5 linked regions of the Canis lupus familiaris genome follow. The protein of the gene in region 1 interacts with the protein of each later gene in a biochemical or structural test. Links are inferred from orthologs where the notes say so. Each region holds a gene or a part of one and is shown in the gene's direction. Other genes may lie near its edges. The genes, in order: UBE2A, RAD18, RNF20, UBA1 and RNF40.

The links.
Region 2: the proteins of UBE2A (region 1) and RAD18 form a complex in vitro, tested with the Homo sapiens proteins (12 studies listed by BioGRID, with this or other methods). The link is inferred for Canis lupus familiaris from reciprocal best matches to the Homo sapiens genes UBE2A and RAD18.
Region 3: the proteins of UBE2A (region 1) and RNF20 form a complex in vitro, tested with the Homo sapiens proteins (4 studies listed by BioGRID, with this or other methods). The link is inferred for Canis lupus familiaris from reciprocal best matches to the Homo sapiens genes UBE2A and RNF20.
Region 4: of the proteins of UBE2A (region 1) and UBA1, one has a biochemical effect on the other in vitro, tested with the Homo sapiens proteins (6 studies listed by BioGRID, with this or other methods). The link is inferred for Canis lupus familiaris from reciprocal best matches to the Homo sapiens genes UBE2A and UBA1.
Region 5: the proteins of UBE2A (region 1) and RNF40 form a complex in vitro, tested with the Homo sapiens proteins (3 studies listed by BioGRID). The link is inferred for Canis lupus familiaris from reciprocal best matches to the Homo sapiens genes UBE2A and RNF40.

What each region holds. Positions count from the first base shown.
Region 1 is NC_049260.1:92,286,268-92,292,094, forward strand, and holds the start of UBE2A (ubiquitin-conjugating enzyme E2 A), read left to right. Parts: upstream 1-2,381; 5' UTR 2,382-2,583; coding exon 2,584-2,627; intron 2,628-2,769; coding exon 2,770-2,850; intron 2,851-3,262; coding exon 3,263-3,288; intron 3,289-5,827. UniProt on the Homo sapiens protein: E2 ubiquitin-conjugating enzyme that accepts ubiquitin from the ubiquitin-activating enzyme E1 and transfers it to a E3 ubiquitin-protein ligase. In vitro catalyzes 'Lys-11', as well as 'Lys-48'-linked polyubiquitination.
Region 2 is NC_049241.1:9,272,954-9,278,311, forward strand, and holds part of RAD18 (E3 ubiquitin-protein ligase RAD18), read left to right. Parts: intron 1-2,563; coding exon 2,564-2,748; intron 2,749-5,358. UniProt on the Homo sapiens protein: E3 ubiquitin-protein ligase involved in postreplication repair of UV-damaged DNA. Postreplication repair functions in gap-filling of a daughter strand on replication of damaged DNA.
Region 3 is NC_049232.1:58,595,715-58,601,859, forward strand, and holds the start of RNF20 (E3 ubiquitin-protein ligase BRE1A), read left to right. Parts: upstream 1-2,192; 5' UTR 2,193-2,223; coding exon 2,224-2,315; intron 2,316-3,438; coding exon 3,439-3,511; intron 3,512-5,466; coding exon 5,467-5,634; intron 5,635-5,751; coding exon 5,752-5,899; intron 5,900-6,054; coding exon 6,055-6,145. UniProt on the Homo sapiens protein: Component of the RNF20/40 E3 ubiquitin-protein ligase complex that mediates monoubiquitination of 'Lys-120' of histone H2B (H2BK120ub1).
Region 4 is NC_049260.1:40,995,756-41,001,113, forward strand, and holds part of UBA1 (ubiquitin-like modifier-activating enzyme 1), read left to right. Parts: coding exon 1-64; intron 65-1,082; coding exon 1,083-1,189; intron 1,190-1,446; coding exon 1,447-1,537; intron 1,538-1,647; coding exon 1,648-1,780; intron 1,781-2,306; coding exon 2,307-2,404; intron 2,405-2,481; coding exon 2,482-2,628; intron 2,629-2,770; coding exon 2,771-2,947; intron 2,948-3,064; coding exon 3,065-3,169; intron 3,170-3,263; coding exon 3,264-3,344; intron 3,345-3,721; coding exon 3,722-3,877; intron 3,878-5,358. UniProt on the Homo sapiens protein: Catalyzes the first step in ubiquitin conjugation to mark cellular proteins for degradation through the ubiquitin-proteasome system.
Region 5 is NC_049227.1:17,573,172-17,579,140, reverse strand, and holds the start of RNF40 (E3 ubiquitin-protein ligase BRE1B), read left to right. Parts: upstream 1-2,155; 5' UTR 2,156-2,310; intron 2,311-2,419; 5' UTR 2,420-2,491; coding exon 2,492-2,623; intron 2,624-3,046; coding exon 3,047-3,214; intron 3,215-3,348; coding exon 3,349-3,490; intron 3,491-4,348; coding exon 4,349-4,555; intron 4,556-5,101; coding exon 5,102-5,223; intron 5,224-5,324; coding exon 5,325-5,471; intron 5,472-5,564; coding exon 5,565-5,639; intron 5,640-5,969. Other genes in the region: CCDC189 (coiled-coil domain-containing protein 189), read right to left, coding at 24-193, 356-421, 954-985, 1,517-1,732.

The sequences.
Region 1 (5,827 bases):
TCCTTTCATTTGAGGGCATTTAACCAACTTCAGTCGCCCTCATTTCTGCAAGCAGAGGTCTCAGCATCCCCCACCCCCACCCCATTAGGCCTGCTAGTCTGCGCAATAACCCCAGAAAACGCTTGAGCTCCATGTACTCTTTCATTCTGTTGCACTGATAGAAACTGTTTGACTTCTCTCCCAGGAAGTCTCTCCCTGCTATCACCTCTTTTGAAAGAAAACTGAAACAGACCCATTCCAGGAAGCTTGTTCTAATCTCATCAGACTGAGGGTTTCCCCTGCTGTGTGGCCCCTTGGCATTTGCAGATGCACACGCTGCTGCTCTGGCAGGCAGAATTTGAAGATCCCTGGCCACTGATGTCCACACACCTTCTTCCAGTTATTCAATCAAACACTAACCTAGGTTCTCTGTGAGGGAATTTTGCAGATGTGTTTAAGGTCCCAAATCAGACGATAGAAAGGTAAGGGGATTACCCAGGGTGGGCCGGACCTGATGAGATAAGCCCTTAAAGTGAACTGGGGCTCTTCTTGAGACTCCAAGTGTGAGGGGGCATTGGCAGGAGAGAAGTTCTCTGGTGCTGACTTGAAAATGGAACAGGCCAAGTGGCAAGGGATGTGGGTGACCTCTGAGAGCTGAGAATGGTCCCTGGCTGGCAGCCAGTGAGCAAATGGGGGCCTCAGTCCTTACAACTGCAAGGAACTGAATTTGGCCAACAGCCTGTGGTAATCTGTTAAATAGCAAATGAAAACAAATGCACTTGCTTTTGTAGATTACCTGTGTGTGTATCAGTTGCCTGCCAATTACGAGATGAGAGGAAAAGGAGATTTTCAACTCATTTTTGTACCCCCTGCCCACCACAGTCACAGTGTGAATGTTGTTAGGGGAAAGTTGGTGTCAATGGGAGATATAAATCCTTGCCCATCAAAGTACCTGCTGTTAAGCAGCAGCTAGAATCATTACCATTGTCAAGTGTCTCCCGCCTCAGAAACAAATTTCTGCACATCTGCTATTTTACGGATGTCTTTGCTCAGATGCCTCACTAGTCCCATGAACTCAGTAAGTCCTGAAACTGTCCCTCCCCACCATGTTCCCCACTCTGTTCATGGCACCTTCAAAGCCCCAGTTTACTTTGGGGACTTAGAACTCAAGCCTTTGCTGATTCCCTCCTCCCTCTGGACCCCAAGTTCAATCTGTCGCTGAGTCCTCTCCATTCACCGCCTCTGCTCTATTTTTGTTGTCACTGCCTGGCTCAGTGTTTCTCACCTGGACTACTTCAAGTGTCTCCCAGCTGCTCTCCTGGGACCCATCTGTGACTAGCACTGGCTCTAATTATGTGCAGCCACCTTCTAAGGAATCCATTAGCTTGGAATTCCAAACTCTCCCGGATGTAACCGAAACTCACCTTTCTCATGTTTTCAGAAATTCTTTAAAATGAGTGTTTTGCCTACCTTCTAAGTTATTTTGGGTTTACCTTTACAAACTATTCTTTAAAACTGTTATTGCTTTTGCAGGTCCACATACTAACTGTGACTCCTCTCTGCAGCCTGCAGCTTTTTCACGTGCATCTTACCGTTACTTTTACTTCAGACTCTCTGCCCTTCCAATTCTCCGCAGTCGGATATTCTCATACCTTGGACTCTTCTGAATATATAGTAGCCGCTTGGCTTGTTGAACTGCCAAGGGGAAAATGTGGTTCCAGAGCCAAATTGTGAGTGCCCAGAGCGAAAACCTCATTCTGCTTGCCTTGAGTTCACATTCCCTCCCCCAGGACACACACACACACACACACCCCACTATTTTATTTTTGCTTTGGGGTGATCATTGGCCTAAAACATTAGGACCGGAATCCCGTACATTCATCTCCCAGACAAGGGACCCACAGCTCCCTTTCAGAGCCGTGGCCGATTTATTCTTTTGATTTTCAGCGGTTTGAACCAGTCACACACCCTCCTCCCCAGCCTCCCGTGTCCCCAGAGTTCCCGCTTTCCGAGAGCCAGATTTGCCTCCACCTACTCTCGCCTCCCTTCTCCTTGGGGACTTCCAACCTTCTTCTCTACCCACCCTCCCTCCCGCCCCCAGCCACAGTGCGCACTGTAATAAGTGATCTGATCTTTAAAAAAAAAAAAAAAGATAGAAAAAGAGAAGAAAGCTTCCTCAGGGTTCGGCTTGGCCCGGGCGGGTGAAGAAGGACCCCCTTCCACCACTAATTGCTAGCGAATTCCAGGCTGACGCGCAGCCGGCAGCTCGCTTCACTCCCGCACGCGCCCGGCGCTCCCCGCCTCCCGCCGGGGTTTAATGACCTAAGCAACTTTCCTTGCCACCCCCCCCCGCCCTGTCTTGGTACGGCCTGTCCGGCGTTAGGCGTTCCACCCCCCCTCTCCTTCCAGGTTGGTTCAGCCCCCGTCTACTCCGGGGTGGTGCTTAGCCGGCGCCAGACCGACCCTCGACTTCGGAGGGGCAGTGCCGTTCCTCTGGGCGCTTCCTCGGCGGCCGCTTCGGCTCCTCCAGCCTCCTCGGCCTCCTCAGCGTCCGCAGGGACCCGAGACCTCGGTGTATGCCCCACCCCTGACCCCGCTAGAGATATGTCCACCCCGGCTCGGCGGCGCCTCATGCGGGACTTCAAGAGGTAACGCGCCGGGGAGCGCTGAGGCGAGGCCGGGGGCTGCCAGGCGGGGCACAGGGCGGGTCCCGAGGCGGGCCGGGGGCGGGGGGCGGCCCGGAGCGGACGCGAGTGCCGGATTGCGGAGCCCCTGTCTGTTTCCCTGAAGGTTGCAGGAGGATCCTCCGGCTGGAGTCAGCGGGGCTCCGTCCGAGAACAACATAATGGTTTGGAACGCGGTCATTTTTGGGTGAGTCTGCGTTCCGGGAGGTGGCGACGGGTGAGGGACTCGAGCTGGCCCAGCCTGCCCGAGGGCACCGGCCCCCGGCGGGGACGGAGGGTGAGAGGGGAAATGTTTGGGTCCGGCTGGGCCTAGGCGCCTCCCCGGAGCCTGTGCCTCGATTAGCTCAGTTCCCGCTGCCAGGGGAACCGTTTGGGGTTCTGAGGGGGGCGGAGCGGGGAGTGGTGGCGGTTAGGCGCGGCGGCCTGCGCCCGGTTGCCGAGCCCGAAACCTCTCTCTGTGGTGGCTTCCTGCCCCAGGAAGCGGCGCTTTACCTGAGGTGGAGTTGGCGGAGCTGGGAATAGCCCTCTCTTAAGGTGAACCTCTTAAGGGAGAAGGGAGCCCCTTAAGCGGGAACTGACTGTTTTTCTCTGTGTTGCAGGCCTGAAGGGACCCCGTTTGAGGATGGTAAGAGAGTTTCTTTACCCACCTTTCAGGAGCCTGATCATCTGGGGGAAGGGGTTCCCAGTCATGCTGGAAGTGCCTCCTACTTAAGAGCCCGCTTCTCCCTAGCCTCTGCCTGCTAAAGGCTTGAGTGGAATCCCGAGTGTGGCAGGTTGTTCTGGCCATTGTCCGCTTGACTAGAACTGCACCTTTTTTCTTGCTTTTTGCTTGCTAAAAAAAAAAAAAAAAAAAGAAAGAAAGAAAGAAAAAGAAAGAAAGAAAAAAAAAATACCCCAACCCGGGTAAGGCAATCACTTTTTAAGAGGAGCATCATAGATTGATGTTAAGGATTTTTGGGGTTTGGGCTGTGAACCTGCTAAATTTGGCCCCCTATCAGGAAACTGACTTAGTATCAACCCGATCACTTGCTGATAGACACAGAGACCCCCTAGTTCAGAATTCTGCCACAAGGGCAGGAACTGTGTTCAGCAGCTGCTTGGTATGTGTTTCTTGGATGAGTGCATGAATCCCTTGCACAGAACTGTCCAGTTTCTACCATCTGGCATTGAATGCCTGTCAGCCTACTGCTCTAAGATGGTCTTTAATGGCACCTTTAATGGCCAGTTTGAATATTATGTTGTTTCTTATTTTTAAAAGAGTTTTTGGTGTGCTTTTATCAAGACTTTATGGTCAGTATTCTCAAAGCAGCTTTGGAATTGAGGGGAGCCTTAATGTACTCTCTTGACGAGTGTGCAACCTACTTGGAGGTACTATGTGTACCTGTAGATACAGGATTTTTAAGGGATTTAGGCTTGACTTTTAAAAACATGTTAGTTGCTTTTTGTTTTGTTTTTTTTTTAACTGTTTGAGATAATTCTAGATTCACCTGCAGTTAAAATTACTACTACTAATAATGATAATAATAGAGACCTTGTATACCTTTCACCCATTCTCCCACCCCTTTGTTAACATCTTGAATGACTGTCATTCAGGACAAAATGTGACAAAAATATCACAGCCAGGAAACTGACATTGATATAGTTTTATTTGCATTCAATTGTGTGCATGCTTGTGTAGTCGTTTTTTGAAAAGCTTAATACATTTAAAACACGATTAAAAGTATTTGAACTACTGATCGACATTTTTAATATTTGAGGTATTTAAAAAAGAAAAGGATCTTTCTGTTAATTTTTGCAATGACCATCTTCCTTTACTTATTTAGTACTTGATACACACACACACACACACACGCATGCACAGAACTCAGTTTGAAGGTGGGAACAAAAACATTCTGCAAGCTACTAAGTATATACTTTATAGTGCTGAGTTGGATTGCTTTTTTTTTTTTTTTTTTTTTGGATTTCTTTTTGATGCTACCAGTCCACAAAGTGTGATGAGGGAGGGCAGTATCAACCATTTCTCTAATTTGTTTCCAATACTCAGATTTCCCTAAGAGACTATGGACAGTCACCTGAATACTTTTAGCCTCCTCTCTATCTCCGCCCCCTGAGTAAATGTCACTGCTCTTCAGTGCTGCAATAAAAAGAAATGACAGTAAGAGAGTGATTCTAAAGGCATACTACTTTGTTGCAGCAAATCTTTTGAACTGATCCATGGCAAGAGCTAGCTTGACTTAATTTTCCTCTACTAGATTGGTGCTAGTTCATTATACCTAAGCATTGTGTGCAGATTAACTGTGTGTTTGCTTTAGCTCTGGCAGGCTTTGTTTTCATTGGCTGCTTTTTTTTCCCTCCTGACTTTACTCAGACAGCTTTCTGCTGGGCACAGCTTTATTAATAGTACATCACTTTGCTGGAGGATTGGCTACTTAAATATTTCAAGGGTGCTTCACTTGTTTTAAGTGGTATGAATTGAGAAGGTACTTAAGGAATCCATTATCTACCTGGATCTTCCCCAGTGACATCACTGGTTCTATTCTTGATGATGGTGTATCTCCATACTGGCATTACTGAAAGGAACTACTCCAGCTAAATGACAATTTTGATTCATTCTGTTGAGCAGTCTGCTATCCGTGGATGCTTCCTCAGGTGTCTAGAACACAAACTGTGGCTACAAAAAATATTTTGACTATTTTTTAATACCCTTTATTGACAATTAGGACATTTACTAGAAAAGACTGGTTAGAGACAAGGGGCATAATTGATTTTGCTGTTTCCAATGTATTATGTAAATCAGCAGTCCCAAAACTACTTTTGCTGCTTCCTTGTAAACTGGGGGACATTTCTGGAACAGCCAGGCCCCAATTAAAGATGAAGACTTAAGAAAAGGAACTCTTGAAGGTATTTTGATTTAACTTCACACACTTAAAGTAAGAGGAAAATGTTCCCAAGAACTTAATACTACCAAACAAAAACACTGGGGGGGGCAATGCTTCCTCATCAAGATATGCTGAATACAAAAACTATGGAATAAAGTATTCTCCATCACATCATCTAAAAATTGTTGATTACACACAGTAAGATACTAGTATTTCCTTTTTGTTTTTTTTTTTTTAAGATTTTATTTATTCATGAGAGACAGGCAGAGACACAGGCAGAGGGAA
Region 2 (5,358 bases), on another chromosome or scaffold:
ATTTTATCTATTTATTCATAGAGACACCCGGTGTGGGAAGGGGGAAGAGAGAGAAAGAGAGAGAGAGGCAGAGGGAGAAGCAGGCCTCATGCAGGGAGCCTGACGTGGGACTCGATCCTGGGTCTCCAGGATCACACCCCAGGCTGCAGGCAACGCTAAACCGCTGCGCCACCGGGGCTGCCCAATTCTGAGGACTCTTAAATGCATTACTCACTTTCACTAAATCATGGAAGAAGGATCAGTGTTATTTTCATGTTTGGGGAATCATCTATCAAGCTCATGTTTTAAAATTCTGGACAGAAATTGTTCATTTCTGCTAGTGCTTTTCATCGTAAATGTCAGTGAACAAACAGTTTCTCATTTGAATTTCAGTCATAAGTTTAATTGTCTATCTTTGATAGAAATAAATGTTTTAGATACAGACTTAATGAACTGTCCTTCACAGTGTGCTTGTATAAACTCCTATAAAACGTTTCAGCTCTTGCTACCCACTGTGACTTTATTTAGCTGTAATTTTACCTGTCTTGTGGAGCCCACCAGGCAATTTTCAGAAATGTAATCTTTTGAGGGTTTGCAGGTCTTTCTATAGTTAAATAGTTATCTCTGGCTTTTGGGTGTTATTGATAGAGCATAATAGAAATAATTTAGCCAAGGAATGGTACTGTTGGTTAGTAGAAAAATGTTTGGTTGTTTTCAGTCTATGTATATTCAACTGTATTATCTCTCAGTATAACCTTTGTGCAATTTATGTCAGATTTACCCTATGGAGGCTTGTTAACATAGATTTTAGGTCTCTAATTTAGAACTTAATCTTTGCTACGTAGGTGATGTGGAGACATGACCAAGAATCTGCAATTTAATAAACTCTCCTGGTGGTTCCAAGATCCACTATAGTTTGTGTAGCATGGCCTTGAAGGCGAACTAGTTATATGCAAGTCCTCTGTAAAATCTTGGACTTTTTTTTTTTTTTTTTTGGATAAACCATTTACTTTCAAGTATTTATTAATTTTACTGGAAACTTTGGTATTTTAATTTTGAAATTATTGGAATTGTAATAGCTACTTTGAATGCATATTTATTAAGCACTTAATTGCCATGGTGTTGTGCCAAGTAATGTACTCAGCCAGTTTATAAGATTAAGTAGATTAAAGCTCACTAAGGAGTCCCTGTTTATAAAATTATCTCGAGTCATTGATACCCTTAGGTAGTTTGACTTCTATTCCATTTTGTAATGTTTATTAACTGCTTTTTTGAGGGAGCAGAAGAAAATAATTTAATAGGGCTTTGCTATATTAAATTATAGTTTGTGCTTGTCAGCATATTAATTATATAAGTAGAATGAAGAGCCAGGTGGTGGTTTTGCTATTACACTTAAAATCCTTATATATTTAATATAATTAATTGAAGTTGAAGAGAATAAAACCCATTTATATTTTTTGCTATTATTCACAATCATGTTCTTTGAAGATGATGCCATAAGAATATTATCTGCCTGTCAACTTTCAGAACTCTTTTTTTTTTTTAAGATTTTTATTTTATTTATTCATAGAGACAGAGAGAGAGAGAGAGAGTGAGGCAGAGACACAGGCAGAGGGAGAAGCAGGCACCACACAGAGAGCCTGACGTGGGACTCGATCCCGGGTCTCCAGGATCACGCCCTGGGCTGCAGGCGGCGCTAAACCACTGCGCCACCGGGGCTGCCCCAGAACTCTTTTTTCATTGGCAGTAATAAATTTGGTAAAGCTAACCATCCCAACATATCTTTTATTTAATCTAGAGCTTTTGCACAATGATTACCTCCACTTTGAGGGGACAGTTTTGCCTATGGACCAGCACTTTTTCTAAAGTAGCTATATTCTTAAATCCGTAGTCTTAATTTCAGTAGTGTTTGTACTCTGATTTTCCGAGGTAACTGTTTTTTGCAGAGATTTTACATGGAAACCATGGATGTGTTTTAGGACAAACATGCTTTAAAACACTGGAGAATTGAGGATGTCTATGTAAGTGTGTTTCTAAAGTGAGGTTTTCATAGCATTTAGTGCACAAGCCTTCCTTTTTTTTTTTTTTTTTTTTTTTTTTTTAAGATTTTATTTATTCTTGGAAGACACAGAGAGGCAGCAACATAGGCAGAGGGAGAAGAAGGCTTCCTGCAGGGAGCCCGATGTGGGACTCGATCCCAGGATCCCAGGATCATGACCTGAGCTAAAGGCAGATGCTCAACCACTGAGCCACCCAGGCATTCCAGTGCACAAGCCTTCCATGGGCATCTTGGGCCTGCATCTTTAGGCCTGAACTCTTTTTGAGGCCTGTGTTTCTCTAAGGTTGGCTGCCACCTACACCCCGGTATCTGAATGTGCTGTGGGTACCTTAGAATGATATGTCCAGCACCGTCAACTTTATTTGCAAATTTAATTTTTCTTCTCTTTCCCATTTTTATCTTAATGGTTCCACTATCTTCCCAGTCATACTGGTACTCCATCAGAAGGCAAGTTAACTGTTTTATGTGAGGAGCATTTGCTAATTCACAGTAACCCTAAGTGATCTCTTTCTTTCCCTTTTTTAGTTCTATTCACAAAAGGAAGCCTCTGCCCAAAACCGTATATAACTTGCTCTCGGATCGTGATTTAAAGAAAAAGCTAAAAGAGCATGGATTATCTATTCAAGGAAATAAACAACAGCTCATTAAAAGGCATCAAGAATTTGTACACATGTACAATGCCCAGTGTGATGCTTTGCACCCTAAGTCAGGTAAGCTAATAAAGCAATGATTTCTGCTTGTTTTCTGGTTAAAGCAGTTTTGTATAGCTCAGGGATTATAAATCATAGAAAAAAAATTTAATGAATACAATTTTGATAATAGTTGAGACATGTAAATATTTTCCTTCAAAGGTACCTAGAATATACTCTGATAAGCCTTTCTCCCAGCTGGTCTGTCAGCCACTATTCCTTTCTCAGAAGCAACCACTGCTGCTGGTTTCTTTTGAATATCTTTCCAGAGATAGTATGGAATGAAGAGTTGATCTAGAGAGCATGGGTTATAATCCCAGTTTTGCAGCTTTATGACCAGGGATTTCGGGCAAGTTACTTCTCTCAGTTTTCTCATCCATAAAATAAGTGTTATAATACTATGGATTGCATAGTATTTTTGAAAGGAATAAATGAAAAGTGCATAGCACCATACTTTAGCAAATAGTTAGCATTTAGTAAGTGTTATCATTATGATTGTTAATTATACACAAACATATGTCTGGGATTGTTGTTTGGTAAAAATTTAGTATTATAGGGGATCCCTGAGTGGCTCAGTGGTTTGGCACCTGCCTTCAGCCCAGGGTATGATCCTGGAGTCCCGTGATCAGATCCCACATCGGGCTCCCTGCATGGAACCTGCTTCTCCCTCTGCCTGTGTCTCTGCTTCTCTCTCTGTGTCTCTCATAAATAAATCTTAAAAAAAAAAAAAATTAGTATTATATACAAACTATTTATTTATTTATTTATTTATTTTTAAAGATTCTTTTTTTTAAATTTTTATTTATTTATGATAGTCACAGAGAGAGAGAGAGGCAGAGACACAGGCAGAGGGAGAAGCAGGCTCCATGCACCGGGAGCCCGATGTGGGATTCGATCCCGGGTCTCCAGGATCGCGCCCTGGGCCAAAGGCAGGCGCCAAACCGCTGTGCCACCCAGGAATCCCCCAAACTATTTATTTAATGGTTTGTCCTTTTTATTTAACCACACGTATTTTGGAGTTCTTTGAATTATTAGCATATATAGAATTGCCTGATTTTTTAAAAAACTGAAACATAATATACAAACAGAAAAGTATACAATTTGTATTGTTTGGTGACTTATCATAGGAAATTTCACAAACAGAAAATACCTTTGTGACTATCTTTTAGATCAGAACCAGCATCCCAAAAGCCCCTGTGCTCCCTAACTCCAGTCATTCCCACCTTCATTCTCACAGATGACCACCATCTTGACTTCTGACACCAAGGATTATTCATTTTGTCTGTTTTTGCGATGATAAATTCCCTGCAGAGTAAGTGAGCTGAAATGACGTGGGCATTGTGATGTAGTGTTAGGCTGCTCTTGATCTTCTTTTGACAATTTGTCAGAGGAAGATCATCTGCTTCCCAACTGTGGTTATTTGGGAATTACCAAGGCTGTGGAGGCAGGCCACAGCTAAGGGGGGACCTCCTGTGTTTCCATTCCCCAGGTCAGTTAGGCTTCAGTAATACCCCAGGTGATTAGGCTCTGTTTAACTAGTTTCCTGTGAGTGCAAGCCTTGTTAAGAGGAAAGTGCCCTGGTATATTTGAAAATGGTTCCTTTTCCTCTCTCCTTGCTTGAAGCCATAGATTTTTCTTCGATATTTACTGTAAGAAACTTGAACTCCTGAAGGTGAATCTCGCAGTCTTGTCTCCTCTACCATCCTCCAACCACAACTGGGTCTCCCTGGGGTTTTTTTTTTTTTTTTTTTTCCACTCTTCGAGGTATCTGCACAGGACTTCCAACAATTAATTAATTACAGTTTAGGTTTTCCCATCTTTTGTACTGTTCCCTGCTGCAGTTTCTGCTTGTAAGTTTCTGCTAAGGTAAGCCATTATTCTCTGTGTTTGTGGGTCTCCACATTCTTGGGGGCATTAGTTTGCCCTATGTCCTCCCCTCTATTGTGGATCTAAGAAGAATTGCTGAATTTTTAACCTGTTCAGCTTTTAATTTGTTAGGATGGAATGCCAACTTCCAAGCTCCTTCTATGAAGAACTGGAAGTCCATTTCATTTAAATGAACTCTTACAAATCTGTGGCCTTCAATGATGAACTTCTTTGATTTAGCAGAATATTTTCAAGGTTATCCATTATCCATTGTTAGCACTACATTCTTTTTTATTGCCAAATCTTTCATTGTGTGGATATGTTACTTATATTGCCTATTCAGTCTGGGATTTTCTCTCTTTTGGCTCTTGTGAATAATGCCACTATGAATATTCACACACAGATTTTTGTGTGGAATTGCTGGGTTAAATGATAACTGCATTGTAACATTTTGAGGAACTGCTGGACTGTTTTCCAATGTACTTATAACATTTTACATCTCACCAGCATGAGGGTTCTAGTTTTTCCACATTCTTGTCCCACTTGGTATTCTGTCTTCTATTTTGGTCATCTTAGTAGTGTGAAATGGTGTGGTTTTGATTTGTATTACACTGATTTTTGATTATTAAAGCAATCATTTATCTTTAGCAAGGACTCTTTGCATTTCATCTAAATTCTTGAATTTACAATTTACTATTCTTTACTAATTTCTTTTTTTTCTTAAGGAATATTCTCTAATTTTCTTTTAGTGTCTGTGGGATCTGT
Region 3 (6,145 bases), on another chromosome or scaffold:
CGGCGTTATGCTTAAGTTCTCCCTGTACTTACTCATCCTTTGAAAGGGGCACGGTAATAATACTCTTATCCCTGGGATAGGAGACTGAGCCTCAGCCTCAGTGATGATACACGGCTTGTTCAGTATTAATGATTCAGTAGACACTTCTCAGGTCGCTTTCAGCTCTGTGTTGTCCCCAACACAATAGATTTGGTTCCTGTCCCATTCAAACTATTATTCTGATTCTGGCATTTCAGGAAGTGAGATTTCTCTTTTTTCTTAGTCTCTTCATTCTTTGCCCATTGTCCCATTTGTCTTACTCCTTATCAGCATCCTGTTTAGAAATTAGTAGTTGCCTAGATTCAGCCCTGACTCTTAACTCCACATTTCACTTTTTTCTTTCCAGGAGGAATATGGGGATTGTGTTCCTTGGTATGAAGTTCATGGATTTAGGTTAAGAGGCTGGCAGAAAACTTGCTAGTTTTTACTTTGGAAGTGATCTCTTTATTGTTGCTCTTCTTTCATATCTTACCAAAGTTTCTGTTTTTTTTTTTTTTCCCCTCTCCAGGAAGACAGCTATCATCTGGTGCCAAGATGTCAGGAATTGGAAATAAAAGAGCAGCTGGAGAGCCTGGCACATCCATGCCTCCGGAGAAGAAGACAGCCGTTGAAGATTCAGGGACCACAGTGGAGACAATTAAGCTTGGAGGTGTCTCCTCCACGGTATGTGGAAACAGTTCTATGAGAGCGTGCTTTTCTTTTCTCAATTACAAGCTGAAAGTAAGAATTTATGGAAGCCTTCTGGTCTAAGAAAAATTTATTTGAAAAGAGGGAAATAAAACAGGCAGAAGTAGGTGAAATGATGTGGTCAGTTCTGAAAAGAGTATATTGACATTTGATCTTTATTTCCAAAGGTATGCTTCTGATCTCTGGAGAGTGTGGTGCCTGATACACATTGATTATAGGCATTCAACAGTGGGAAACTGTACAGTCATTTTTCATTCACTGAAAAGTTAGGTGCTAGGTACTAAGAGGCGGTGTTCCAAAATCACTGAGAGAGTTGTGATGGGTCACAGTCTGAGGCCAGACTTCCTGGAATTCACTCTCAGCACTAACACTTTCTAGCTGCATGGCTTATCCTCCCTGTGCCTCTTCTCCATGTTTATAAAATTTAATATGGTACCTACTTCATTGGGTTGTTGAGATGATAAAATGAAAGAGCCCCTGTTAAGGGTCGAAATGTTACCTTTAATATGTAAGTACTCCTCCATATATGTGAGCTATTAATAATAATTATTGGGCTAGGTATTATGACTATCATGGTGAATAAGATAGATACTGTCCTTGCTATTATGGAGTTGACAGATTCATTAGACTGTTCTACACCAGAAGCTTAGAGTAATGTTATATGTCCATTAGACATCAGAAGTTCACTATAATAAGTGTGGATCTAGATTAGGAGTCTGTATTCTGAAACTCAGCCATGGGGATATGGTGTTAAAATGCTACATTTGTATAGCTTATGAAACCACATCTCTTCCTTATTTGAATTAGGCTCAAGATGAAAGAGAAAATGGGAACATTCAGAGTAAATAGTTGATGAAGTGTCATTTCTGAGTCTGTCTGGGGTTCAACTACTCTGTACTGCTGCCAGGAGGTGATTTTGTCTTAACACTGAATCACGTTATGCATCCCAAGGACATTTGCTAATTCAGTAAATATAAATATTTGTTGAACATCTGTTATTTCTAAATACTATGCTTTACACTGAAGACAACCCCTGGACTTCAGTTTGTTAAGATGGCACTGCCAAGAGACCAGACTGTTCTAATATTTATGAGTGGGAGATGTGATGTTCATAGGGATAAATAGCCATAGGCTCTAAGGGAAGCAGACAGGATTCATCCCAGTTTGGACATTATCCACAAGTCATTAGAAGGTCTTAAGCAGGAGAGTAACATGCTCTGACTTCTGCTTGGAGAATAGATTATAGAGGAGCAAGATTTAGAGGTTGAAACGTTAGCAAAATTGTTCCCTTGTTCCTTCGCCCTCTTCTCCTTCCCATTATGGGTGGGGAGTTGGGACATATCTCCACTGATTCCTGCCCCAGTTGGTTGAAGGTTGCCTTTATAGGCAATATCTCTTCTTCTGCACTTCAAGGTTGCTGTAGTGAGCCAGCTGAGATTGTGGAACAAAAGTTGAAAAGATTCCAGGTGGCTTGAGGTGGGAACACTGCCTGTATGAATGGAGCTGTCCACCACGGCTGTGCTGAAGTCTGGGAGACTGACAGGACATGGCATGGGGAACAAAAGTGTCCACTACAGGAGACTGTTGCAGTAATCTTTTTTATTTATTATTTTTTTATTGGAGTTCAATTTGCCAACACATTGCAGTAATCTTGATGAGGGATCATGGTTGCATGGGTCACCCTGGAGGTAGTGTTGACAAGATTTGCTGGTGGAGTGGATGAAGTTTATGAAATCCCCAAATTTGTAAGTATAGACTGTCCACTTACTGAGCTAGGGAGAAGTAGGAGAGGAACATACTTTTTGGGAAGCTGTGGAGGATGAATCAGGAATTTGATTTTTGACATGCAAGTTTGGGATACTTATTAAACATCTGAGTGGGTAGGTGGTTGAATACTATAATCTGCAGTCTGAGGAGAGGTCGGGGTAACGCTGTACATTTGGGAGGAGGTATTTAAATCCATGAGACTAGAGGCTCTAAGCGAGTGTAGATACAGAAGAGGTTTGATTGAGAACAGAACCCTGAAGCGCTGTGATGTTTTCATTTCAAAGAGATGCAAAGAGACAGAAAATGAAGTAGATGGAGAACAAGAGTGACTGGGGGCCCAGAAGTCAAATGAAGAGAGTTTCAGGAAGGAGTTGTTCAGGTGCTGCTGATGGTTTGAGTAGGGGGAGCATTGAGACATTTGGTTTAGCAGTGGAAGGTTCTCGGGAGCCTTGATAACTGTGTTTATGGAGTGGTAGTGCTAGAAGTCTGATTGGAGTGAGCTGAAGAGAATAGGAGAGGAGAGGAATTAGAGAAAAGAGGGTAGAGACCGTGCTTTGCAGGAGTATTGATGACTTTGTCTTTGCAAGACAAAGAAATGGGGCATTAGCCACAGGGAAATGTGGGGTTTAGGGAAAGTGGTTTTGTTTTGTTTTTACGATAGGAGCTATTACAGCAGGTTGATTGAAATTATTTGGTAGAGATGATAAAGTTGATGAGGTAGTAGAAAGAGGAGATGGTTGCTGGTGTGAATTTCATGAATAGGGGAGAGAGCATGGCATGTAACATACAAGTGGGGAATTGGTTTTAACTGGGAGCAGGGGCAGTTGATCCATAGCAACAAAGAGGAACACAGTGATATGAGTTCAGTTGTAGGTAGGTCAGTAGTTGCAGTTATGAGAGATAGATGTGGACATTCTCTCCTGATTGCTTCTATTTCTTTTTCAGTGAAATCAGAGGCGACTCATCTGAGAGTGAGGATGGGGGAGGAAGTGTTGGAGGTTTGAAGAGACAGGAGAAGGTATGAAGTAGTCATCTTGAAGAGGGAATGGACTAGAGAGATCGAGTATTGTTGCTGGGCAGCACTGAGGACCTACCTGACTCTGTGATCATGAGATAAAGTGAGCCCAGGCAGCACGGTACTTTGTTTTGTGGTCACATTCAGCTGCATGGATGTAGGCCTGGAGTAGTGGAGAGGTGGATGATACCACGGGTGGGGTTTTTACCAGGTAGGTGTGGAGAAGGAGCAAGGAAGGAAGAGGTTCTAAAAGGAGATGATTATGACTGATCATGGAATTCAAGTTCAAGAAAGAAAGGGAGTGAGGAAGTGAGAGGAGTGAAGGATGGGAAAGATAGAGGACCAATGATTGTAGGTGCTGGAGAAAGTGAAGAATTGGAGGAATCAGGGAACCCGAGAGAATGAGCTGGACAAGTAGGTGGTAATTGTGGAAAATGGGGTGTTTGAAATTCAGCTTATAGAGAGCATACACGTACAGCTCAGGCTAAGAATAAGAATAACAGAGTTTGGTGGCTGAGGGAGGTAGAGGACAATATCATTGGAGGAAAGGAAGTCAACGACTTGAGGATTTGAGATACAGGAAAGATCATCTATATGGGAATTGTAATCAGTAAGAACCGTGATAGTAGTAGCATTGGAGAGTGATAAGCTAGGTACTAAATCTTAAGGAAACATGGGGAAGTAATCGGCACATTTATAGACCAGTGCAGGAAGGCAGGGTGGCAGGAGGATGCCTGCCTGTTTCTGGCCCAGGGCAGTGCTGGAGAAATGTGCAGGGAAACCGTATTCTCATCCTGGTTTCAGTTAGAGCAAGAAGGGGAAAGGAGGGCTCAGAGAAGAGGTTAAGGATATCTTTTATTAATGGTATTAATAACTATACGTTTGGAACTATTGACTAATTTGGCATATCAAGTGTTTTAACACTGGAAGAAGGAGAATAAAATGGAAGAAGGAGAATAAAAGCAAAACAGGATATTGGTGCTCTAATAAACAGTGCTTACTTTAAAATATTCATGAACTTCGAGGTAAAGTAAAAGTGTAATCCTTTCCAATCCTTTGTTTCTGTGCCAGGGTTCTCCCTCCCTGACCTCTACCTCCCAACTTGTCCTAGGGAAGAGGTTAGGGTGAAAAGTTAAAGATACTGAGAGAGGTGTGGAATTACTGATGGAGTGATATTTTTGCAGAAACAGAAGGGAATGAGATCCTGAGCACAAGTTGAGGTCAAGTATGGAAGATAGTGGAGATAGAAGGGATTGACAAGGAAAAAGGAGAGAATTAAAATCCTGGAAGATCTAGATGAGGATTGGTATATGGGGATAAGGGCACAAGGTATCTGGAAAGATAAGATTTTATTCAAGGAATTTAAGGTCTCAGTTGTGACAGAGTTACAGATAATGACAGAAGTCCAAGATATGGCCTTTGAAATGTGTGGCTGAAGCACAATGGGGGAGATACTCACTAGAGTTAAGGAATTCAGAATGCAGCGTAGCTGCTAGAGGATTCGATGGTCTGTCCACATGTGTTCATGTCCACATGCATATTGCGCTCACTGCATATGTTGGCAGGCACTGGGGCATAGAAGGGCCCAGGTGCCGAGGTTCTTGATCGAGTGAAGGGCAGTGCTGAGGAGATGGGTGGCAGCATTGATCAGGGTGGAAGGTGCTCTGACTGAACAGTGGAGCCTCACAGGACTTTGTGGATGTCCATGAGAAAGAACAGTGAGATGGGCGAAGTCCAAGTCCTAGTATATGAGTGACATTCTCACTTCCCATCATCGCAGATTCTTTCCTTTTCTTCTTCTGTTCCTACTTCTTATCCAATGATTTGTTATAAGATTTAAAAAAAAAAATGAACAGCTTTAGTCATAGCAATAACGAATTAATGTGACCTTGTTGAATTTAACAGCTGATTTGCCTGATTTCTTTGGGGAGACTAATAAAATCGGTTTCCCGGGGCAGGAGGAGCTAGACATTCGAACACTGCAGACCAAAAATCGCAAGCTGGCAGAAATGCTGGATCAACGGCAGGCCATCGAAGATGAACTCCGTGAGCACATTGAAAAACTGGAGCGAAGACAGGCCACTGATGATGCCTCACTGCTGATCGTCAACCGGTACTGGAGTCAGGTAGCTGCCTCATTCATTTGCTCAGGTTTTTATTTGAGCATTTTTGTTCTCAGCACTCTTCATTTCTCAAGTTGTGTTCTTTTGGTTTTTCATAAATGTTGTACCCACCCTTCTCAGTTTGATGAAAACATCCGTATCATCCTTAAACGGTACGATCTGGAGCAGGGTTTGGGAGATCTCCTCACAGAAAGGAAAGCCCTTGTCGTGCCCGAACCAGAGCCGGACTCTGATAGCAATCAGGAACGGAAAGATGACCGAGAGAGAGGTGAGTATTTGTAGTGGATCTACCACCACATGCTGTGTGGGTGTTGGAAGTAGAGCTTTGCTTTCAGGATTTCTATTTGAGGCAAGAAAGAAGACTTTGGTATTTCCACTTTTATCATGTTGACAGCTTTTTTTTTTTCCCCTCTGTGTCCTCAGGGGAAGGGCAAGAGCCAGCTTTCTCTTTCCTTGCTACTTTGGCCAGCAGTTCCAGTGAAGAAATGGAATCTCAGCTGCAGGAGCGAGTGGA
Region 4 (5,358 bases), about 51 Mb from region 1:
CAGCTATGTGCCTGTCAGTGCCTACACTGGGCCTCTGGTCGAGGACTTCCTTAGTGGCTTTCAGGTACCTTGGGCGCAGTGGGGGGTTGCACACCACCCAGCCTCCTGCCCAGTTTTCTCCAAACCCACTTTTCCTTTGATCATTTGTTCTCTATTAAATGGGCCAGCCTGTGTGCCAGGTTTCACACTGGAGATGCAGGTGGGTTTTAGACCCTGGACCTGCTTTTTCGGAGGGCAGGGGTGTGAATGGGCAGGCCATAGAGCGTAGTGATTATGAGCACAGGCCAGAGCCAGACTGCCCTTGAGTGGGTCTCCAGTTCTATTAGTATGATCTCAGGCAGGTCACTTGATCTCTTCTGCTTTGTTTTCTTTTTCTTGTTTGTGGACTTGGGACCGGTAGTAGTACCTACTTTGTAGAGTTTCTGTGAGGGCTAAGTGCTTAGAATAGCAGCTGGTGCATGATAAGGGCCATCTGGTTATTTGTTAAATAAAAACTCTGAGCCCGAAAGAGGAGCTATGGGAGCTGAGTTTGTGCCCTGGGGCATCCCAGTGGCCGGACCCTGCTGCTGAACCTGAAGTAGTTGTAGGAGCTCACCCTGGTGGGCAAGGGTGAGCATTCGGGTAGAAAGAAAAGTCCCAAGGTACCTGGTTCAGCAGGCATTGTCTGGAGAATTGGAAGCAAATGGGTGTGGTAGGAGTGAGCTCAGACTTTGGCTGTGAAGGGAGGTTTACTTCTGTGTCTCCCAGGGCAAGGCAGGCCTGTAGGCGGGCAGCAGTGGGTGTTGATGCGTAAATGAGTCAGCTCCTCTCTACACTCTCCCCTCCTGGCTGCCTCATTACCTTGTCTGCTACCTTGCCCGCCCTGGTGTAGGGATTCGCATTTCTTTTTGCTGGGTTTCACCCTGGCCGAATGTGATCCGTAGTAGATGCTTTGGGAGACAGTATCCACGGAACCATAGTAGATAATTCTGTGAAAGCTTTAAGGACTCTTCTGAGTCCCCCCTGGTTCCGGCCTTCCTGCATTATTCTCTCCCTCTTGCCCCAGTGCTGGGCCCTTGTCCTGAGCCTCCACCTCTCCACAGGTGGTGGTCCTCACCAACACCCCCCTGGAGGACCAGCTGCGGGTCGGTGAGTTCTGTCACAGCCGTGGTATCAAGCTGGTGGTGGCAGACACACGGGGCCTGTTTGGGTGAGTGCCCCTATCCTCATCCCCCGACCCTTGCCAGGCCTGCGCCAAGACCCCTAAGCTCTCATTGCCTTGCCCCTTGGCCACCCGGGTTTCAGATTCTGTGTGTCCACCCCTCCCCACGTAACATGAGTGCTGTGTGATTCCCAGCAGTGATGGACTGAATTTGCTCAGCAAGTATTTGTTCTATCTCAAGGGATATGTCCGGTCCCCATGAGCATGGGACTCTGGGGCTTCAGCCCTGTTGCCTCCCTTTACAGGCAGCTCTTCTGTGACTTTGGAGAGGAAATGATCCTCACAGATTCCAATGGGGAGCAGCCACTCAGTGCTATGGTTTCTATGGTCACTAAGGTAAGGAGATGAGCCTCAGGGGTCCTAGAATGCCAATGGGCAGCAGCAGGCCTTCTGTCTGCTCCTGGTACCCTGAGTCTGCCTCTGAGGTTCACTCCTCCTTTAATCAGGATAGCCCCGGTGTGGTCACCTGCCTGGATGAGGCCCGACATGGGTTTGAGAGTGGCGACTATGTCTCCTTTTCAGAAGTACAGGGCATGGTTGAACTCAATGGAAGTCAGCCCATGGAGATCAAAGTCTTGGGTGAGCTAAGGCCATGGAGGAATCAGGGGTGGTAGGAGGAATCAGGGGTGGTAGGAGGTATGTCCCTGGGCTCTGAGCGAGGGGAGAAAGACACATGCTGGGTGTCTGAGATGAACCAGGACAGAGTCCCCTGGGTCCAACCAGAGCTGGTGGGCATGGGGTAGAGGTACTGTCTGGTGTTTGAGCTATTCCTAGGAGAATAGGTCCTTGGCGTCTGCGCTAAGCGGGGGGGAAGGTCTTTGGTGTTTAAACAGAGCAGATCAGAGACGATCCACTTCCTGTCTAAGCTGATGTAGACAGGGGCAGAGAATGTCTTCTAGTATAGACTTGGGTCCAAGGGCCCAAGGGGGTTGCAAGCCTGTGTCTTGGGCAGAGGGGACATGGTTTCTGATGTCCCAGCAGGACCTGGGGTGGAGAGTTGGCTCCTGATGACTGAGCTGGGTCAGGGATGGAGTTTGCCTTATCTTGGGGGTATTGTGGGTTTTAGGGGAGGGCCGGTAGCTTGACAGTTTCCTCCTCTACCTAGGTCCTTACACCTTTAGCATCTGTGACACCTCCAACTTCTCCGATTATATCCGTGGAGGCATTGTCAGTCAGGTCAAAGTACCTAAGAAGATCAGCTTTGTGAGTGTGGTGGGTAGTGGGGGTGGGGAGGGGTTGGTCCTGGGCATTTCTAGGCTCTGATGTCCCATCCCCCACAGAAATCCTTGCTGGCCTCACTGGCAGAGCCTGACTTTGTGATGACAGACTTTGCCAAGTACTCCCGCCCTGCCCAGCTGCACCTTGGATTCCAGGCCTTACACCAGTTCTGTGCTCAGCATGGCCGGCCCCCTCGGCCCCGCAATGAGGTGGGTGAGTGGGTGGGCCAGCCAGGCCCAGTGACCTATGTATGCCTCTACCTGTCTGCTCTCCCTTCCTTTTGCATCCCCCCCAATCCCTCTTCCCACAGTGGCCTGACTGAGGTCTTCTTGGTCTTTCCTGCCCCACCAGGAAGATGCAACAGAGCTGGTGGCCTTGGCACGGGCCGTGAATGCTCGAGCCCTGCGAGCAGTGCAGCAGGACAGCCTGGATGAGGACCTCATCCGAAAGCTGGCCTATGTGGCTGCTGGTGATCTGGCCCCTATAAACGCTTTCATTGGGGGCCTGGCTGCCCAGGAGGTCATGAAGGTCAGCACAGTGGGGAAGGGCAGGGCCAACAGTGGCCCAGGCCTGTCCCTGATTCCATCACTTACTGTCCATCTGCCTCAATTAACCACTGACCGCTTCCTCCTCCCCACCCCGCAGGCCTGCTCTGGGAAGTTTATGCCCATCATGCAGTGGCTGTACTTTGATGCCCTGGAGTGTCTCCCTGAGGACAAAGAGGCCCTCACAGAAGACAAGTGCCACCCGGTATGGGAGTGGGGCCCATGGGGAAGATGTCATTGGGGGCATTTCTGGCGAGGCTCCCCCCACACTCTGACCCTCCTCCCTTCGCATTCCTCAGCGCCAGAACCGTTATGATGGGCAGGTGGCCGTGTTTGGCTCAGACCTGCAAGAGAAGTTGGGCAAACAGAAGTACTTCCTAGTGAGTGTGACCCCCTTAGACACCCACTGCCTTCATCTCCCTGGGCCTCTGGCCCCCTCTTCTGGAGTCTCCTGCGTCCCAAGGGAGGGTCTTTTGGTTCTTGTAACTCTGTTGCGTGCCTTTTGCCACTCATTTTTTTATCTCAAGAGAAAGCCTTGTTTGTCCTTCTGTTTCCTCCTCTGGCGCTGCCTTCCCTCAGATGGCTCTGGGTTATTTCTGATAGCCCTGGGACTTGAGGATGTGGCACAAGCCCCACTCCACCTCTCCTGTTGTCTTCTGTCATGGGTAGGGGGTGGGGAGTGTGGAGTGATGCATACTGTCACATTCCCCTGTGTTACCCCAACCAGGCTCTATCTGTCTTCTTCGCTACCTTCTAGGTGGGTGCAGGTGCCATTGGCTGTGAGCTGCTCAAGAACTTCGCCATGATTGGGCTGGGCTGTGGGGAGGGTGGAGAAATTGTTGTCACAGACATGGACACTATTGAGAAGTCAAATCTGAACCGGCAGTTTCTTTTCCGGCCATGGGATGTCACGGTGAGTGGAATGAGGAGAAGGGAGTGGGATTTTATCCTCTCCCTTTCCTCCTGTCTTTTGTTTCCATTCTTTCTGGAAAGGAGGGAGGCCTCTCCATCTTTTTCCTTCAGCTCTTTCAGTTTCTCTGCGACACTCCTTTAGCAAACATTTCTTGAGCATCCTTGCGTTGAATCTACCATTTTTTCATCTTTTTCTTTTTGACCTGTTATCAGTGCTGGTTGGGCCAGTGTGTTGGGGGGTCCCCCCGACCACCCCCAAGTCTGATGATTGACTAGGAGGACTCACAGGACTCATCTTCTAGCCCTATTCACAGTTATGATTTCTTCTAGCAAAATGATGCAGAGCAAAATCAAAGGGAAAAGGCATCTGGGGGAGACCAGACACAAGCTTCCGAGACTCCTCTCCCAGTGGAGTCGCACAGGACACACTTAACTCCCCCAGTAGCAAGTTGTGACAACACGTGTGAAATGTTGCCAACCAGGGAAGCTCGTTAGAGACTCAGTACTCAGGGTTTGTACTATGGGCTGGTCACGTAGGCACCGTCCACTGGGCACATACCCAAATTCCAGCCTCCCAGAAGGAAAGCAGGAGTTCAATAGAAACCACACTTTGCATAAGCAGTCTAGGTACAGTGAGCTGCCCTTAGAAGGTAAGGCCTGGTGAGAACCCTCTGGAAATCCAGGTTCCCAGATGCCGACCAAGGGTTGATCTTGCCAGTAGGCCTTCCCTAGGAGAACGTTTGTGTTAGGGTCACTCTTCTCTGCCAGATGGAGTCTAGGTCATTCAGGGGCTCGAGCTGGGAAGCCTTCTATGGGGGACAGTGCCCTGTTTGCCTGCCTGGGATCTGTTCCCCTTTCTTTTTTCTTTTTTTTTTTTTTTTTAAAGATTTTGTTTATTCATGAGAGACACAGAGAGAGGCAGAGACACAGGCAGAGGGAGAAGCAGGCTCCATGCAGGGAACCTGACTTGGGACTCTATCCCAGGTCTCCAGGATCAGGCCCTGGGCCGAAGATGGCACTAAACTCACTAAACTGCTGAGCCACCCGGGCTGCCCTTTTTTTTTTTTTTTTTAAAGATGTTCTCCTTTCCATTCAGTGATGTCATCGGTAGTCATTGGCCTAGGCACCGCTTTCGGCACTTGGGATACAGCAAGGAAACACAGGTTCTAAGGAGGGAGGACAGACCATAAGCAAGCAATACAGTATAATAAATTTGTAGTTAATGTTGATGAGTGCTGTGCAAAGGAAACAACCAAAGCAAGCTAAGGGAAGTTGGGCCTGTCTGGAAGACAGGTTGGCAGTTTCGATTATAATGGTTAGGAAAGGGCTCAGTCCTGCACACCTGGAGGGTAGAAGGGAGTAGAGACCCCTTTTCTGGGTTCAGAGCACCCTAGGCCAGGATCCTGTTGGCGGGGTGGGATGTAGGAGATGAGCTAGAGGAAGTAGGGGCTAACTCATTTTCTCCTCTGTGGAGGGGGAAGC
Region 5 (5,969 bases), on another chromosome or scaffold:
GCCCTTTGGTAGCCTTCTCTCACCAACACAGGCCTTATGAAGATCTTGGAGCAGAGCACAAGCTGTCGATGTCTGTTCCAGTGAGAAGCCCTGCTGGCGGCAGAAGATGAGTGCATGGGAGAAGAGGTCCAGGGTGATGGCATCCCGCAGGCTTTGCTCAGGATAGCCTAGCCCCAAGAGCTCAGCTAGCACCCTTGGGAGGGAGACAGGAAGGAGGGACTGAAGTAGCCTCCCTTCACCACCCCACACTGGTGCACCATGTGCTCTGGAGGCAGGCATTCATGCCTTCTCAGCCTAGCCCCCTTAGACTCCCCCAGGAGCCAGTTCCTCTGCTCGCCCCTGTGTCCCCCCATACTCCCTCATCTCCTCAGTGTTGGCTGTCTTCTCCAGCCTGTGCATGGAGTGGATGTCCAAATACTTCCTGTAATAAGAAAAGAGGAGAAAAGGTGTTGGTGGCCGTCAGGCATTAGTCTCATGACAGGGCTAGGATGGCTAAAACACTGGACTGGGAACCAGGAGACCTGAGTTTGAAGATTAGCCCTTCCACTACCCTCTCTGGGTATAACTTTCTTCATCTTTAAATAAGGGATATAAAATAAATAAATAAATAAGGGATATGGCTTAAACGAATTCTTACAATCCTCTTCATTTAGAAAGCTGAGGATTAGGAAACTTGAATTCTTGACTCTTCCACGCCCCATGTGGCTTCAGTGTCTTCATTTATACAGTGCTCCATAGCAGTCCATATTCCATTTACATCCTTAGTCTTTGGCTCTATCCTTCCCACCCACCCTCCTTCTTTGGCCTGGGGAGGCAGGAAGGCTCTACTTAACTTGGATAATTGCAGTTTCCTCATCTGTACAATGGGGAATGCCCTAGCTGTTTGACAGGACTGTTGGGGAGGAGTAATGCCAAGTGTAAAGTGTAACTTTTCCCCAAGACTTCACACTCACCACATGCAGATCCGGGGCTGGGGCAACGGCGGCTGCGGAGAGAAAGCGGATTGGGCAGGCGGAGCCGTGCTGTCCATGGCCCCAGTCCCTGACCCTTCGGGAATCTCCAGCGGGCCTGAGAACCTGCTAACTTGCCTTCTCATGTTAAAGGTTATGTATGAGCAACGCTGGCAGGCCGGGCTTCAAAAGGCCGTAAGTACTACTATTCATGAGCATTTAACAATCGGAGTCACACACCCCTGCCTCTTCACCAAGGCACCCAGGAAACGTCTTGAACGTTAATAAGCATAAGGACGGGGGATCCCTGGGTGGCGCAGCGGTTTGGCGCCTGCCTTTGGCCCAGGGCACAATCCTGGAGACCCAGGATCGAATCCCGCGTCGGGCTCCCTGCGTGGAGCCTGCTTCTCCCTCTGCCTGTGTCTCTGCCTCTCTGTCTCTCTCTGTGTGACTATCATGAATAAATAAATAAAATCTTAAAAAAAAAAAAAAAAGCATAAGGACGGTGGCACCCTGCCGGGAAGCCCTTCTACAAACATGAGCGGACCACTCTGTCCCGCCCTCACCGGGAACAAGTTGGCTGCAGGATCTTCATCCGCTGCTACCGAGGCCGCGGTGCCGGCCGCGGTCCCGGACTCGGTCCGCACACCTGTTGCTATCCGCGTGACGGACTCCTCCATAGAGCTGAGGTCCTTCTCGAGTTCCCGCTGCAGTTCGGAGGGCTGTTCAAACTCCGACTGCATCTTCAGCCCCATGAATTGGCTAGACTTCTGGCGGATCATCTCGTCGCTCTTCCTCGTCACGGGTCACCACAGGCTGTGTCCCGCCCGGGTCCTGGGAAAGCCGGTTCTGGGGCCGGGACTGACTGCCAAGCCCTCCCTCCAGCGACGCCTCAGCCAATCTACGCCGCAGAGAGGCCGGTGTAACCAATCCGCAGGGGGCGTCTCCCTCCGTCTCAACGGCGACCGTTGCTAAGGGAGCTCGTGGTGGGAGGGAGCAAGGGTAGGACGCTCGCCAATCAGTGAGAAGGAAATGCACATGCGCAATAAGTTTCAGGCGCCGTCTGGGTGCCCTGGCTTCAAAGCGGCTAACAGGATGCCGGTGATGCCCTTAGAGCTAGGGGTTGTGAGTGTGGTGTCAGTTGCCACGGGAACTGTCTACTGGCCAATCACTGGGAGAGAGAGGAGGTGTTCAGGAAGAAACCAAAGGAGACCCGAGAGGCGGGACAAAGCGCGACCAATAGAAACAGGAAATGAAGTTTCGCCACATCCGGCATTGCCTGCGGCGCTTGCGCTCTTGGCTGAGGAGGCCGGTGACGTCCGGTGAAGTCCAAGATGGCGCTAGGCTGAGCCTGCTGCGGGTGAGGGGCCCGGGGCTGGCGGGGGAGGGATCCATCAGGTGTGTGCGGGGAAGGCTTGGAGCTGCGGAGCAGTGGCCGCCTCCACATCTCTGCTCTCTGTCTTCTGCAGGTGACGGAAGTGCTGCCTACGCTTGCTTGACGTCCCTCGGGAGACCCTGCGCCGCTCCTCGCCGCCGCGGCCATGTCTGGACCCGGCAACAAACGCGCCGCCGGCGACGGGGGCTCAGGGCCCCCAGAGAAGAAGCTGAGCCGCGAGGAGAAGACCACGACCACGCTTATAGAGCCTATTCGTCTTGGGGGCATCTCTTCTACGGTTCGTGGGCTCCTGCCTCAGTCCTCACAACTTGCCAGCCTCCCCATCTCTGGTTTCCGCCCAGATCGTCCAGAACCTTACATCCTAGCTCCCCAAGCTTAGCAGGAGCCACTTTACAGAATCCTCTGTTGAAGGAAACCGAGAACACGACGTCTGCCTTCCTTTTACAGATAGGGAAACAGGTTCCCAAAGGGAGTGTGAGTTGTCAAAGACTTGAGAGCTAGAGGCAAAAGCAGGACTTGACCCTCCTCACAATCAAGATGCTTTCTCTGGGGGTGTCAGAACCTCTTTAAATTCTGTTAGTGGTTAGTCTGGGGATACCATTGCTGTGTCCATTCCAGTTGCTCTCTTTTGCCTCTCTCTGTGACTGGTTTCTTGGGCTCTATTTGACCCTCTCCTCTGCCCCTTTGTTTTTCTTGGTAGGAGGAGATGGACCTGAAGGTTCTGCAGTTCAAGAACAAGAAACTAGCAGAGCGATTGGAACAGCGACAGGCTTGTGAAGATGAACTCCGAGAACGAATTGAGAAGCTGGAGAAGCGGCAGGCCACAGATGATGCCACACTGCTCATTGTCAATCGCTACTGGGCCCAGGTGGATGCCCCTCTGCTTTCCAAGACCTGGCCTCGATCCAGCTGCCAATCCTCAGACTACTCTGCTGGGAAAGGAGTATCATGCTGGGAAGCACCTGAGAGATTCATAACGTTTTTGGTGCTTTCTCCCTTCAGCTGGATGAAACTGTGGAAGCCCTTCTTCGACACCATGAGAGCCAGGGGGAGCTGTCTTCAGGGACAGATGCGCCTGGGACCCAGGAGGGGCCAGCACGTGATGAGACCCCTCTCACAGAACCAGGGACATCGGAACTGAGGGGTAGGGCCAGAGCCCTAGGATCTGGGCAGCTTAATTAAGTTCTGGGAAAGGTCCTGGAGTGGAGGGAACTTTCATATTACTCTACTGAATTCCCCACCACCCTTCACACACACACACACACACACACACACACACACACAACGATTTCATGATGTTTGGACAGCAAGTGCAGTGTTAGGTAAGGCCCCAGGCTTTGAAATCTGAGTGACTTGGTTCGTATTGCATGTCGTATTTGACACTCATTTAGTTCAAAAAACTGTCAGTATCTTGTGTTATCTACATAGGTAGTACTGTTAACAGCTTCAGAAGAGACAAAGATAAGAAATCTTGCCTCTGCCATCAGGGAGGAAGTTTTTTGTTTTTTGTTTTTTAAGATTTTATTTATTTATTAATGAAAGAAACAGAGAGCAAGAGAAAGGCAGAGACTCAGGCAGAGGGAGAAGCAGGCTTCATGCAGGGAGCCTGATGTGGGACTCAGTCCTGGGACTTCAGCATCACGCCCTGGGATCCACCCAGGGATCCACCCAAGAGAGAAAGTGATTTTAAATCATGAATAAAAAGGATAGGGACTCTTGAAAGAGAATTCGTGTATATGCACTCATGTGTATGGTTCTAATTTAGATAGAGAAGGCAGAAAAGGCTTCTCTGAGGAAGATTTGGAAGTCCTGTGGCCTTAAAATTATTTTAGCTCCCTGAACCTCCGTAGTTATGTAATACCAGTGTATTACAGGCATTGCTTGTGTTGGTTCATTGAGCATTGAGTGGCGAAGGGCTTGGTCTAGAACGTGGTATGGAGTGGTGGTAACTGCTGCTGGTCCCCTCGTGAGATTCTCACGAGGGTCTGTCCATTCCTTGCAGAGCCCCTACCAGTGCAGCTGCGGCCCCCCCTCAGTGAGCCAGCTTTGGCTTTTGTGGTAGCACTGGGCGCAAGCAGTAGTGAGGAGGTGGAGCTGCAGCTGCAGGGCCGAATGGAGTTCTCCAAGGCAGCTGTGTCCCGTGTTGTAGAGGCCTCAGACCGCCTACAGCGCCGAGTGGAGGAACTCTGTCAGCGAGTATACAGCCGAGGTTAGTTTTGTGTGTCCTACCGCAGAGGTGTCTATCCCTGTCTGTGTCTTCATTGTATCCCCTAAATGCCTGAGCCCAGAGGCAGCCATAATTTTCCAAGGAATGAATCAGCCACGTTCTCAGGGAAAAGTGTAGGTTGTAGAGGGGGCTCTGCTTTTGATTCACGGGGTTGAGTTCTAGTGAGCTGGGTGGGAGGAGTTGTTGATGCTTAAGGGGCCACTGTCTTCCAGCCGAAGACCTCTTTGGAGCACTTTGCACAGATTTTGGTTGCAGTTGCTCACTCATGAGGCATAGTAGTAAGTGTCTAGGCCTTGCAGGCTGACAGCCCTCATCCTGTCATTTTAGACTGGGCATTCTGGGCAGATGGCTCTCCTCTCTGAGCTGGTTTCCTCCTTTGTGCAGTGGGGATAAAGACTCCTGGCTTTGTCATGAGAAATTGGCAAGACAGCTGGTGGATCACACTGGGCACATAGCAGACTCCAGAATGAGTTAGTACTTTGCCCCATTGCCCTGGACTTGGCTCTTACCCGAGCCCTGCCTTCTCAGGGGACAGTGAGCCCCCCGGTGAGGTGGCTCGGGCACGTACCCGGGAGTTGGGTCGTGAGAACCGGCGGCTGCAGGACTTGGCCACCCAGCTACAAGAGAAGCACCACCGCATCTCATTGGAGGTGGGATTACAACCAGGGCAGGGTTTGGGTTAGATGTGCACCAAGGCTCTCAGGGAGCCAAGTCCTCTCTTCTAAGTATCTGACCCGATCATTGTCTCCAGTACTCTGAGCTCCAGGATAAAGTGACATCAGCAGAGACCAAGGTGCTGGAGATGGAGACGACAGTGGAGGATCTGCAGTGGGACATCGAGAAGCTGCGCAAGCGTGAGCAGAAGCTCAATAAACACCTGGCGGAGGCCTTGGAGCAGGTGGGGTTTGGTTGCTGGGTCAGATGGAGCCACGGCTGAGTACTCGGAACCCACGCTTCTTTCCTCCACCCCCATCGGTCTGTCTCTCCACAGCTCAACTCTGGCTACTACGTATCTGGGAGCTCCTCAGGTTTCCAGGGGGGTCAGATCACACTCAGCATGCAGAAGGTGAGCAGGCACCATTCTTTCCCATCCCTCCTGTGCCCTTTTCTCTGCCTCACCTATAAAAGTTTCCTCACAATTAAGGACAAACCATTGCATGGTCTCTGAGTCCCTTCCCTGTCCCTCATGGGTCTGTTTCATTCATTTGTTTACGTATTTAGTAAGTAGTTGTTAACATTAAGTGCTGGGCATGGTGCTCAGAAGCAGGCAGTATCAGAGGACAAAATAGATAAATAACAAAGTTTTCATGGAGCTCAGGTTCTAGTTGGAGGAGAAACAGGAAGTAAGATAGTACGCCAGGTGGTTATAGTTGCCCCAAAAAAGAAAGGATAGGAG